4 linked regions of the Saccharomyces cerevisiae S288C genome follow. The protein of the gene in region 2 purifies or fractionates together with the protein of the main gene of each other region. This does not show direct contact. Each region holds a gene or a part of one and is shown on either strand. Other genes may lie near its edges.

Region 1 (2,766 bases), on a different chromosome or scaffold from region 2:
ATAATATTTAATTGTTAAACAAGGATACTTATCAAAAATAGTTACAATATTAGAATATAACCATTTCTTTTGTGAATTTACTAATATAATTGTTTTAAGTAGTTCTTCAAAATTAGAAGGTATATTTAATATATTTCTAATCTTTTCTAAACATGCTTTATCATCAATATGTATTCTAAAACCATAAAAAAATCTTAAATATTTTTTATCATTTAATTTAATATAAAAACTACCATCTCCATCTGTAAATCCTACTAATCATTTATAAAAATTATCTATTTCTAAATTATTCTTATTATTATTTTTATTATCTTTTTGAACAATAATTAATTTATTATTTAAAGAAGTATGATAACCTCTTTTAATAATATTTATATTTTTAATATAAGGTGATTGAATAGAATATAAATCTATATCTTTATTATATTTAAGAATATTATTATAATTATTATTATTATTATTATTTTTAATAATTAAAAATATTAATAATAAGTAAATATTAATTATTGTTCATTTAATCATTCCAAAAATTTAGGTAATGATACTGCTTCGATCTTAATTGGCATATTTGCATGACCTGTCCCACACAACTCAGAACATGCTCCATAGAAGACACCTTCTCTTTGAATTAAAGCAGAAACTTGATTTAATCTACCAGGAGTAGCATCAACTTTAATACCTAAACTTGGAATAGCAAAATCATGAATAACATCAGCAGCTGTTACAACGAATCTAATATGTGTATCTACAGGTACAACTATAGAAGTATCAGTATCTAATAATCTTAATTGACCTTCTTCTAATAATTCATCAGGAATAACATATGATTCAAATTCAACAGTTTCACCACTATCATTAATAAAATCTGAATATTCATATTTTCAATATCATTGATATCCAATAGCTTTAATAGTTATAGCTGGTGAAATAACTTCATCACATAAATATAATAAAATAAATGAAGGAAAAGCAATAATTAATAAAATTACAGCTGGAAAAATTGTTCAAATAACTTCAATAGTTTGTCCATGTTTAATATATTTATATGCAATAGGATTTTTTGAATATGTTATAACAATTGTATATAACATTCAAGATACTAAACCTAAAATAACTAATAAATAAAACATAATATTATCATGTAATTCTAAAATACCTTCTTGATTTGGTGTTGCTGAATCCTGAAAATAACATGCATAAGGTGTTGGTACATCATTCATAATGAATGTTGTTAATTGTAATCTTAATAAATCTAACATTTTAATAAATCTTAACCTTTAGACTCTTTTGTCTATTTATAATATGTTAATACTACTTTTAATTAAAATTTATTTATAATTTATTATTATATATTATAAATTAAAATAAAAAATATTATATTATATTATCAACCCCACCTTTTTTTATTAAAAATAATTAAAATTATATATTATTTTTATAAATAATATATATAATATTATTAATCATATAAATATATATTTTATTAAAAAAAAAAAAATACTAAAACTCCTTCGGTCCTCCTCCCGTTAGGGAGGGGTCCCTCACTCCTTACGGGATTCCCGCTTCCCAAAAACTAATAATATTCATATCATATATATTAATATTTATTAAAATATATAATATTTAGATTATATATAATATATATAATTTTTATTATTATAATATATTAGTGATTACCTTATTTATAAAGGTATGAAGCAAGGAGTTATTATTTATTATTATTATTATTATTATTATTATTAATATAATATATATATAATATATTATTAATTTTTATTTATACTCCTTCGGGGTCCCCGCCGGGGCGGGGACTTATATTTATATTATTAATATAATATATATTTAAAAATAAAATAGTCCGCCCCGCGGAGGGGGGCGGGACCCCGAAGGAGTCCGCCCCCCTTTTTATTTTATTTTATTTAATTTTAAAGAAGAAGAATTATTTATATTTATTTATTTATTTATCTCCTTCGGGGTTCCGGCTCCCGTGGCCGGCCCCCGGAACTGTAATAATATATTAATTTAATTAATATTTTTTATAGATAAATATACATTATATGTTTTTATTAATTAATTATTTATTTATTTATTTATAATATATATTTAAATATTATATTATATATATATATTTAAAAGATAAATTATATTTATAATTATTTAATGAACATCTATTTAATAATAATAAAATAGTCCGGCCCGCCCCCGCGGGGCGGACCCCGAAGGAGTCCGGCCGAAGGAGATGTGAATCCTGCTAGGAGGAGTAATTATTTATTAATATTATTTTAATATATATAAATATTATAATCATTATTACTTGTAGAAGGAATTGAACCTTACATTATTTATTTATGAGACAAATGTTTTAACCAATTAAACTATACAAGCTCCTTAATTATAATTATTATTATAATTAATACAATATTTACTCTTTATTATCAATATTTATACCTTATTTTATAAATATAAATAAAAGATATTAATTATTAAAATATTAATAAATATATTCTTTAATAATTTATAATTATAATATAATAATTATAATAATAATAATTTTTAATAAAAAATAAAATAATTATAAAATTATAATCTTATTATATAAAATATATAATATATTTATAATTATTAATAAAAAAGATAATTATATAATTAAAATTAATATATATATATATATATATATAAAGGTATTATTAATTAATTAAAAATATTAATATATTTGTTAATTAAATAAATAAATAAATATAAATATTATCTAATTATAAATTTATT
Region 2 (3,493 bases):
TAGTGAGTCCATCGATGAGCTCTTCACAAGAGGATAAGATGGTTGCGATTGCTGGTATTACCTACCGTGAGAATATTAGCAGTCCATTAGGCAAGAAGTCCAGATGATCGAGAGATGACTTCTCTACCAACAACTTCCCATTTGCATAATATCATTAAATATGTTTTACCAAAAAAAAGTTCATCTTTCTTATTTTTAAAATCGATAGTTCTTCAGGATCTTGGTCACATATATATATATATATATATATACACTTATATAAAATAAGACGTTTATTTAATCTTGTTTTCTTACGAGTTTCTTTTTTTTTCTTTTTTTATTTTCTACTTTTGCAAGGAACAGTGACCTTGCCAATAAATAATGAAGACTACTTGGGTTACTAGAATATAAAATACATGTAAAAAATTCATTTATGGTGTGAGTGTGCGAGCGTGCCTGTATACATCTAGCAGCTTGCTTATTTCTATTTTATGTGCATGGAAAATATATTATCACACATCTTACCATCTCATCATGGACATGTCACTTCTGATTCTCATGTAATCTAATAACCCTTCAATTTGGCCTGTACCAGCAATAGCAATATCTTGGTCCCATAATCTCTTACCGGCCCAAGCCTTAACATCTTTGACTGTGATTGCATCAATTTTCTTGAAAGCCTCACCCAGAGACAGTTTGGAGCCCTTGATTAGGACTTCTGCGCCTAACAAGTTAGCGTCATTGACGGGATTACCAGATTCGTATAACTGCCCTAATTGTAATTTCAACAGCGATTTGGCACGTTCAACTTCAGTATCAGTGACAGAAATGGTCAATCTGTTCCATTGTTTCAAAGTGAAATGGATGAGGTCGTCAATCATGGTAACGTTTCTCGTGGCCGTAGAGAACCCCCATAAACCGGAATCTTTGTAAGAAAGAGAGAAATGATTGAAATTGTCGCATAATTGGTACTCCTGTATGTTGTCTAACAATTTGATACCTTGTAATCTAGAAGCGGGTTCGAAGGCGTTGTATGAGCCGAAAATTTGGGCGGCTAATTTAGCAACAAAATAATTTGGTGAATTGACAGGTTCACCTTCCACAGCCAGCGAAATCCACGCCTTTGGCAAGGTGTCGTCTCTCAATCTAACTTCGGAACCCAAGAAAGCGGCCTTTTTCTTGAGTACGGGCTTGGTACCGGTTTGCAAACTTAGGTTTTTGGATTCGATGGAATTTACTAAATCCTCATGTTTGATATTACCGGTACCAACAACAACAGCATTTGAATTCAAGAAATGGTTATTGGCAAAAGATTCCAGATCAGCAACAACTAAATTCTCCAAGGACTCCAAAGTACCTCTAGTAGGCAAAGATAATGGAGTGTTTTGGAAGGCGGTGGAGTGTAAATGTTCCAAAACTCTGTTGGGATGGTCGTTTTCTTCAAAATCTTGAACTTGCTTCAAGACAGATTTCTTCGTGGCCTCGAAGTTAGAAGAAGATAGCAAATTAGCCTTTTGTTGGATGAAAGACTGATTCAAGAAGTCTAGTGATTTATCGGTAGAACCTGGCAAAGAAGATACAATGTAAGATTGGAAGTCTCTGGAGATATTGGAAGACAATGCCAAACCTTCCTTGGCGGCAACAGCAGAGTTTTCTTTGGATAGAAAGATGTTCTTCCATAAATTGGAAACCCCGTTGTTATAAGGGTTTTCGTTGGCAGCACCGGAGCCGAAGACAACACCGACAGAGGCTGTGTGAGCGGAAGGATTATGCTCAGTGGCTACAACTATACCGTTAGATAATTGCGTTACTTCGGCCTTGGGGGTTGCTACAGCTGTAGCCAAAGACCTCTTGAACTGGTTAGATACAGTCTTTGAAGTTACTGTTCTTAGCATTTTTTTTGTTTATATATCTTGTGTTTTCTTTCTCAGTGATATGGTGACGATGATGTTCTTCTCGTATTATTACTCCACAATTGTCTTGATCAGCAATGGTAGCAATTTAATATTAGGATTCGTTACCTATACGAACAGGGATGATATAATATTTTTTCTGTGAAAGCTATTGCTTTATTATACGCTGTTTTCCTCGAATAAGACGGGGAAAGAGAGTAGGGGAATATCGGTTAGGGAGCGCTGTAGGCCTTTAATTTTCTTGTTTGGTTTTTATTTGGTGCAGCTGACAGCGCGGGCCCTTGAACTTCTGGAGGACAAAAAACACTGTTAATTTATTGGCATTTCATTGGTGCAGAAAGCGTGCTGTCCGGGTCACAGTTAAAGTTCATATACATGTTACCCTACCCAGTCCGGGTTATGTAAATCGTGAAAAAGAATATCTGGTTTTAAAATCTCTCTTTTCTTTTTCCCCCTGGTGGGTATGGGTGAAATGCTAGAGAGGCAAAAAAAAAGGTTGCCAAGTAAAGCGAAGTATTTGAAGTATACTGCAAGCATCACCGAAACAGGAAATCACGAAGCTGACTCATCTGTGATTTTCCGTCCCCACCATAGTGATGTAACATGCAGTAACGCACGGCGGGCCGAAAGTCGGACTTTACCCCAGATTTGTAGTTGTATCCTATTGGATCACGGGCGACGGACAAGACCCGAAGTGCGGACCGGCATGGTCAGCTTGCACGGAAGCTTTAAGGGTTTCCCTTGTTTCGGCATTAGAAGAGGCATTTCGCACGTTTTACCGGGTCAGAAACTTCGAGGAAGCTGTGACAATTGGAAAAAAAGGCAAAACTAAATGCAATGTATCCGGTTGCCCATGCATTATTTGTGATGTTTTCGGATGTAGTTCGCTGCGCTCCGCGGCGATATATCCTCTAGCGAGAGGCATATGTATAAATATATATATATATATCTAACAAAAGCATTCAAGTTTCTTTCTCTGGTGTTACGTCTTTGTTCGACTTTCTCTGCTTACAGCCCTGTATGACCAAAGAAAAAATAAAAAGACAGCTACATACCAGCAGAAATTTTTTATAGTATTACACTATACATCCAAGTTTTTTCACAATTATTTATTGTTTTTCTCACATAGAAAATTCCGCATACTGCGATTATAATGAACTCTACAACCCCATCGATTCAAGATCAATATATTTTGGCCAGCAAAGTACGCTCCAAGCTGGCAAAATGCGTTAGCGTGACTACTAAAAACAAAGACTACAACCTGAGAGTTTTAGTCGGGCACGCAAACTTGCTGGATAAGATTACAGAAAATGTGGAAACTCATAATGCTGCAACCAACGCCCTTGCCGGAGACCCTTTCAGTAAAGGACCTGAAAACTTGTCCATCGAACATATCGAATTGTCCAATGCTAATGCTAGTAAAAATGACGTCGGTAAGGAGGAAAATGCAGAAAAGACGATAGAAAGTGAAGATTACTGTGATTTTTACTCTAGTGACGAAGATCCAGATGCTGACACTCTATCTTCTACTGACAGTGAAGACGATGATGATTATGAAGACTATGATTTTGAGTACGATTACTCTGGCGGTGATTATAACA
Region 3 (3,175 bases), on a different chromosome or scaffold from region 2:
TGTTCTTCTTGACGGATGATACTAGTCGCAGTCGTGGTGACTCTGGAGGGCGTAACGGCCGTGATGCGGCCTGAGCTCACTGTGACGTCGATGCATGCGCGGGTTCGTTGCGTTCAGGCCTGACGGGCGATTCCCCACCAAGTATAAGTGTCATGATATACGCGGCACCTGAGCAGCACATTAGGTCCCAATTCAACCCAACATATATAATGGTTCTGTATGGGTATTTTAAGTGTGCAAACAAAATGTGAGTTACCCGGCTGTTTGCTAGTCGCTGCGTACGAACTGGCTTGCTAAAGCTGGGTAAAAATAATTTAATCGCAAAAGGAAGAAAAGGAAATCGACGATTCATTGAAAAAAAGAGAAAATACTGAAAAAAAAAAGACACCGACAAAAAAAAGAGAGAAAGGAACCTTTACGTAGAGCAAAAGGGAAACATTTGTTGCGTTTAATTAATAGAAATAATAGGTTATTGCATTCGCCCTCCATTGCAGAAAAAAAAAAAAAAAAGACCATTTTCCTCTTCTACTCTCTTTGCCTGTACATACTACACGTTATAGCGTTAACAAAAGCAGATAGAAAAAAAAAAAATAACCAAGATAATATAGGTATACTTGTTTAACAGATCACACACAATCATGTCGTGGCTTTTTGGAGATAAGACACCTACCGATGATGCGAATGCTGCCGTGGGCGGCCAAGATACAACCAAGCCTAAGGAACTATCGTTGAAGCAGAGTTTAGGTTTCGAGCCAAACATCAATAACATAATATCAGGTCCTGGTGGAATGCATGTCGACACCGCTAGGCTGCATCCTTTGGCTGGTCTAGACAAGGGTGTGGAGTATTTAGATCTGGAAGAAGAACAACTATCCTCGTTAGAAGGCTCACAGGGTCTGATCCCTTCCCGTGGGTGGACCGATGACCTATGTTACGGTACCGGTGCCGTCTACCTGCTGGGACTTGGTATCGGAGGGTTTTCTGGTATGATGCAGGGTCTGCAGAATATTCCGCCCAATAGTCCCGGAAAATTGCAATTGAACACCGTCCTGAATCACATTACTAAGAGAGGTCCCTTCTTAGGTAATAATGCGGGGATTCTCGCGTTGAGCTACAATATCATCAATTCTACAATAGATGCACTAAGAGGCAAACATGACACCGCGGGCTCCATTGGCGCTGGGGCCCTCACGGGCGCTTTGTTCAAGTCTTCAAAAGGTTTGAAACCCATGGGTTATTCCTCGGCAATGGTGGCCGCTGCGTGCGCCGTCTGGTGTAGTGTCAAGAAAAGACTACTTGAAAAATGAGCAACACAAGAACCTACTCTCTCTCTCTCTTTCTCTCTCTCTCTCCCTCTTCGCTTTTCCCCCATGCACTGATGGCGCTTGTATATAGCATTTGAAAAATAATAGTACGTAACGCAGAAAACAAACCAATGAAAGTAGAAACCCGGAGAAAAGATCTAAAAAAACAAAAAAAAAAGATGGAAAGAGCGCATGTATGTGTAGATATGTACATATATACAACTACTTGTATGTTATTTGCCTTTTGTACTGTTAAGCTATTGTTTTCGATGGCCAATTAAAGTAAAACAAACCGCTCACTCTCGGGTATTTCCCGAAACTGTCAGAGCCGTCCCGGCCCACCGATTCGCCCGGCAAGACCTGCTTGGAAGCAGCACAAAGCCCTGCGGCCTCTGTACACCTCACGCTAAATAGCTGCTAACGATCAACACCTGACCGAGATAACAGCAGCAAAGAACCCGCAAAAAACTGCGCCGTCTAGGCCTCAACCCTTGCTTCCTACAACCAAACAATGGTAAAATATACAAAAAAAAGAAAAGAATGCTCTTTCTTATTTCCCTTTTAACCTAACCATCTTTTGTTTTTTGTCGTTTAACCTGGAAAGAATGTTCTATTATATAAACACTCTTTACTACGTCTTTAGCTTGAAAAAACTCTTGACAAGTGCACCGATACTCACCAACATCGCACAATGAAGATTTTAACCCAAGACGAAATTGAAGCTCATCGCTCACATACGCTAAAAGGTGGTATTGAAGGTGCCCTTGCCGGATTTGCAATCTCTGCTATAATTTTCAAAGTCCTACCAAGAAGGTACCCAAAATTCAAGCCTTCGACTCTAACATGGTCCATAAAAACCGCCCTTTGGATCACCCCTCCCACGGTCTTGACTGCTATATGTGCGGAGGAGGCCTCGAACAATTTCGACGCTACAATGTACGGATCCGGTTCCTCCTCGGAAGACGCACTAGATGAGCACAGAAGATGGAAGAGTTTGAGTACAAAGGACAAGTTTGTCGAAGGTCTATCTAATAACAAGTATAAGATCATCACCGGTGCCTGGGCCGCTTCGCTGTATGGGTCGTGGGTAATCGTGAACAAAGACCCCATCATGACCAAAGCTCAGAAGATCGTGCAGGCAAGAATGTACGCTCAATTCATTACCGTCGGGCTGCTGCTGGCCTCCGTTGGTTTGAGCATGTACGAGAATAAGTTACATCCTAACAAACAAAAGGTCAACGAAATGCGCCGCTGGGAAAACGCACTGAGGGTCGCCGAAGAGGAAGAGAGACTCGAGAAAGAGGGAAGAAGGACCGGCTACGTTTCTAACGAAGAAAGAATAAACTCCAAGATCTTCAAGTCGTAAACCTCGTCGGTTTATCTGCCTCAACTTTATTTCCGCTCCTCGTCTTTTATAAAATTCCTTTCATCAATACATCTATATATTCGAATATATAGATAAACCAATACAAAAACATACTGAAATTTTTTGAAAACAACTAAAACTATTCATTGCAGTTACACGTGAATGCTAAACTTTATATCGCTCTTGTCGGTCCCGCGGAGTTAACATTTAACGGCTTCTCGCGCAATAACCGGAAAAATTCCAACAGTTTCTTTGTAATATTATTAAGCCTTCTTTTTTCCCGGAATCTATAAGAGGGGACGAAAATTAGCCGCTATTAATTCTGGTATTGCCACCTAGACAAGAAGTAAACAGACACATTACGTTAGCAAAAGCAACAATAACAAACACAACCATGGACAAGAAGAAGGATCTACTGGAGAACGAACAATTTCTCCGCATCCAAAAGCTCAACGCTGCCGATGCGGGCAAAAGACAATCTATAACAGTGGACGACGAGGGCGAA
Region 4 (2,854 bases), on a different chromosome or scaffold from region 2:
TCGCTTGACCATATAGTAAATTTGCAGGGCGTCTGAGCTAGATATTCAGACATGTTGCGTATTTGGTGAAGGGTGTATATGACACTTTATATAGCCGCTTAAGATGGTACAATAAAGTGTTTATCTGAAGTACGTCACCTTGCAATTGAATATTTGGTGGATTCTCTCTGTTTCAATTTTTCTGAAAATTGTACCGATCGTTAGCTGGCAATTACCGTTACGTATGTGTCAAGCAAAAAAAAACCCACATATTAAAAATCAAGTAAATAGAGCGATTGATATAGCATTTACCTATCGATATAAATATGTTTTAAGTGATAGTTATACAAGATAAAAACAAAGAATATTCATATGTACGCTGTTATTTTGTAATTATTTTTCTTGAATACTGGACATAGCATCATGAATTTTTTTATTACATTTCTTCATTACAGTCGAAATTAGCTGTTCATTCTTTTGTCTCTCATCATAATTTATTTACAGCAAATCGAAGAGCCAAATTACTTCTTTCCAAGCTTATTTTCCAGGTCGCTTAGTTCCTTTTCTAAGTTCTTGATTTCCTCTTCGTTCTCAAGGGTCTTCATTCTTGCCAATTCGGCTCTTTTTCTCCTTGCCTCCGTTTCTTCCTCCCTTCTCTCCAGCTCTTGGATCCATAACTTTTCTCTCATCTTGGCTTTCTCCTTCAATTGTTCCTCCTTCGCCTTCAGTTCCTTACCAGAAGTCCCATAGATAAATGAACCTGCGACTAGTGCGACTAGTGTGGCCGCTTGTAGACCCACACGCCAACGGAAGTAGTACTGAGCTTTCCATTTATTACCAAGACGAACATTTTGAGCAGCCAGAATGACAGCTCCTGTAGTCAGCAAGCACCCAATGGGTACCAATGGCTGTTTCTTACAATGGTATATAATCCTTTCGCCAAAGGTCATATCATCCAAATCCCTCTCCGTAACATCGAAACTAGATGGCATGCGTGACATCTTGAACGTATAACTGTGATGTTATCGCTTCTAGTACCAGGAATTGAATTAATTCCGATAGGAAGCATTGCTTCCTCTTCTCTATACTTTTCTTTACTATTATTCTTGAAGCATAAAAGGGCCCTCCTTGATTCGCTACCCGGAAACGATAAAGGTAGCTTTTTGCTCTTTTTGCTCATATTAGGCCTCTACTAAAGCATTTGTGCGGTATTCCAATTTTTATTATTGTATTTATCTTACATGAAATGGGAGGAGGGGTGCTCCTCGGTTGAATTGTATTACGTAGCATTAGGGTTGCCTGAGGCGTACACTTCTAGAAACCAGTTCGCCAACTTGGCCACGTCTGCATCCAAATATACGTCGTTCAGAGCAACATTGTATTCAAGTACAATCTCCATAAAAGCACTGGTGGACAGCTGATAAAGAACACTGATCATGTCAGTAGTGTCTTTCATGCTATCTTCGTCTTCACTGTCTTGTTGTACTCTATCTTGGGCTGTCCTTTGTGTTTGGAAGGCAGTGTATGCCATCGATTCCGGATCCCAATCGGCAAATTCACCCAGTGCACAGATGGACCTCTCCAAAGTCTTAAGAATATCCCCAACGGATGCAATGATACCGCCTTTTGGATCTTCTGTCTTTGATCGGATCAGCAGTCCTGTCAGTGCTACCACACTATTTGCGTGGCATATGGGCAATGGAACCAGCTTCTCAGCTTGCCTTTTCTTGGAAATGGACCATATGTCAATTATCGAGATTTGGGCTTTGTTGGAGCCATTTGGTAATAGTCTGTAATTGTCGCTTTCATCAGATGATTGTCTTTCTGCGTAGGAAGGGAAAATAAACGACATTATAGAATTTTTCAGTTTTTTTAACATCAGACGCATAGCGGTCATAAATGTTGTTTCGTGGGTGAAAATAGAGCCGTTAAAAGTTTGTGTCGTTTCATCTAAATCGTTGTCGTAATACGAGGACCTATGCCTTTTCTTGTTTCCGCGGTTAAGCAATACACTATCGTCAGTTCTTACCCTCAGCCTGTTTGGTGATTCATCTAATAAGCCGTTATCCCGTAATGGCGCCATCATAGAGGGTCGGTTCCCAAAGAGTCTTTCGTTGGCGCTTGTTAGTTTCCCGTTCTCATACATATAATCTAGATTTTCTACTTTTTTTTTATGTCTAGCAGTTGCAGAGCCCCCAAGATCTTGTACTGATCTTAGGTACTGCACAACCTTTTCATTGTTTATCTGAATGGTCTTCAAGCATTCATTGAGGATTAATGACCAAGTATTACCACTACTGCTTCTGAACTTGGAGTGATATATTGGTGCTCGCAATGATGGATCCAGTGAAGTGGCCCTATACGCTAGTTCCTGGTAGGCAGTCAACCTAGTAAATGGCTTGTCTGCAGAAAGCCCACTAAGCAGGGTTTCCATCGGCGTCGACGACAAATTCGAAATTAGCTTGCCCTTGTGCAGACAACCTATGGACATATGTGCGTCAAATGCTATATTTATGAATTCGAAAGTGATGAAGATAATGCAGGAGATTATTAGTAAATTTGTGACAGCTAGCACGCCATTCGTAAATGAATCAAATAATCCCGATTTTTGCCTGGAAAAAAATACTGTGGTAAAGATTGGTAATACGAACATGCTGATTACACTTAGAATGACTGACTTCTCCATAATCCTCTTGACACGCTCTAATACGTAGTCTTGTGGGGCCTGGAAAAAGTTTTCGCAGTTGAACGACAATTTGTCAGCGTCAGTGACATGATGTTGTAGGTTGTAAATCGTGGGAACGACTAGCCAAATAAACAGCTTATAGTATGGCTTCCATCCAGATCCGCCACGTCCGAAAACCACACCCAGTAC

Evidence for each region.
Region 1: the proteins of COR1 (region 2) and COX2 purify together in Saccharomyces cerevisiae (affinity purification with western blotting; 8 studies listed by BioGRID, with this or other methods). This does not show direct contact.
Region 3: the proteins of COR1 (region 2) and RCF2 purify together in Saccharomyces cerevisiae (affinity purification with western blotting; 5 studies listed by BioGRID, with this or other methods). This does not show direct contact.
Region 4: the proteins of COR1 (region 2) and RCF1 purify together in Saccharomyces cerevisiae (affinity purification with western blotting; 4 studies listed by BioGRID, with this or other methods). This does not show direct contact.

The regions. Positions count from the first base shown.
Region 1 is NC_001224.1:72,251-75,016, reverse strand, and holds COX2 (cytochrome c oxidase subunit 2), read right to left. Parts: upstream 1,260-2,766; coding exon 504-1,259; downstream 1-503. Other genes in the region: Q0255 (maturase-like protein), read right to left, coding at 1-522. UniProt on the Saccharomyces cerevisiae protein: Component of the cytochrome c oxidase, the last enzyme in the mitochondrial electron transport chain which drives oxidative phosphorylation.
Region 2 is NC_001134.8:133,643-137,135, forward strand, and holds COR1 (ubiquinol--cytochrome-c reductase subunit COR1), read right to left. Parts: upstream 1,875-3,493; coding exon 501-1,874; downstream 1-500. Other genes in the region: PSY4 (Psy4p), read left to right, coding at 1-107; YBL044W (uncharacterized protein), read left to right, coding at 2,356-2,724; ECM13 (Ecm13p), read left to right, coding at 3,046-3,493. UniProt on the Saccharomyces cerevisiae protein: Component of the ubiquinol-cytochrome c oxidoreductase, a multisubunit transmembrane complex that is part of the mitochondrial electron transport chain which drives oxidative phosphorylation.
Region 3 is NC_001146.8:662,275-665,449, forward strand, and holds RCF2 (Rcf2p), read left to right. Parts: upstream 1-1,995; coding exon 1,996-2,670; downstream 2,671-3,175. Other genes in the region: protein transporter TIM23, read left to right, coding at 639-1,307; ARE2 (sterol acyltransferase), read left to right, coding at 3,065-3,175. UniProt on the Saccharomyces cerevisiae protein: Assembly factor that plays a role in the assembly of the respiratory chain supercomplexes (SCs) composed of ubiquinol-cytochrome c oxidoreductase (cytochrome b-c1 complex, complex III, CIII) and cytochrome c oxidase (complex IV, CIV).
Region 4 is NC_001145.3:214,561-217,414, reverse strand, and holds RCF1 (respiratory supercomplex assembly factor RCF1), read right to left. Parts: upstream 981-2,854; coding exon 501-980; downstream 1-500. Other genes in the region: USA1 (Usa1p), read right to left, coding at 1-53; NDC1 (Ndc1p), read right to left, coding at 1,259-2,854. UniProt on the Saccharomyces cerevisiae protein: Assembly factor that plays a role in the assembly of the respiratory chain supercomplexes (SCs) composed of ubiquinol-cytochrome c oxidoreductase (cytochrome b-c1 complex, complex III, CIII) and cytochrome c oxidase (complex IV, CIV).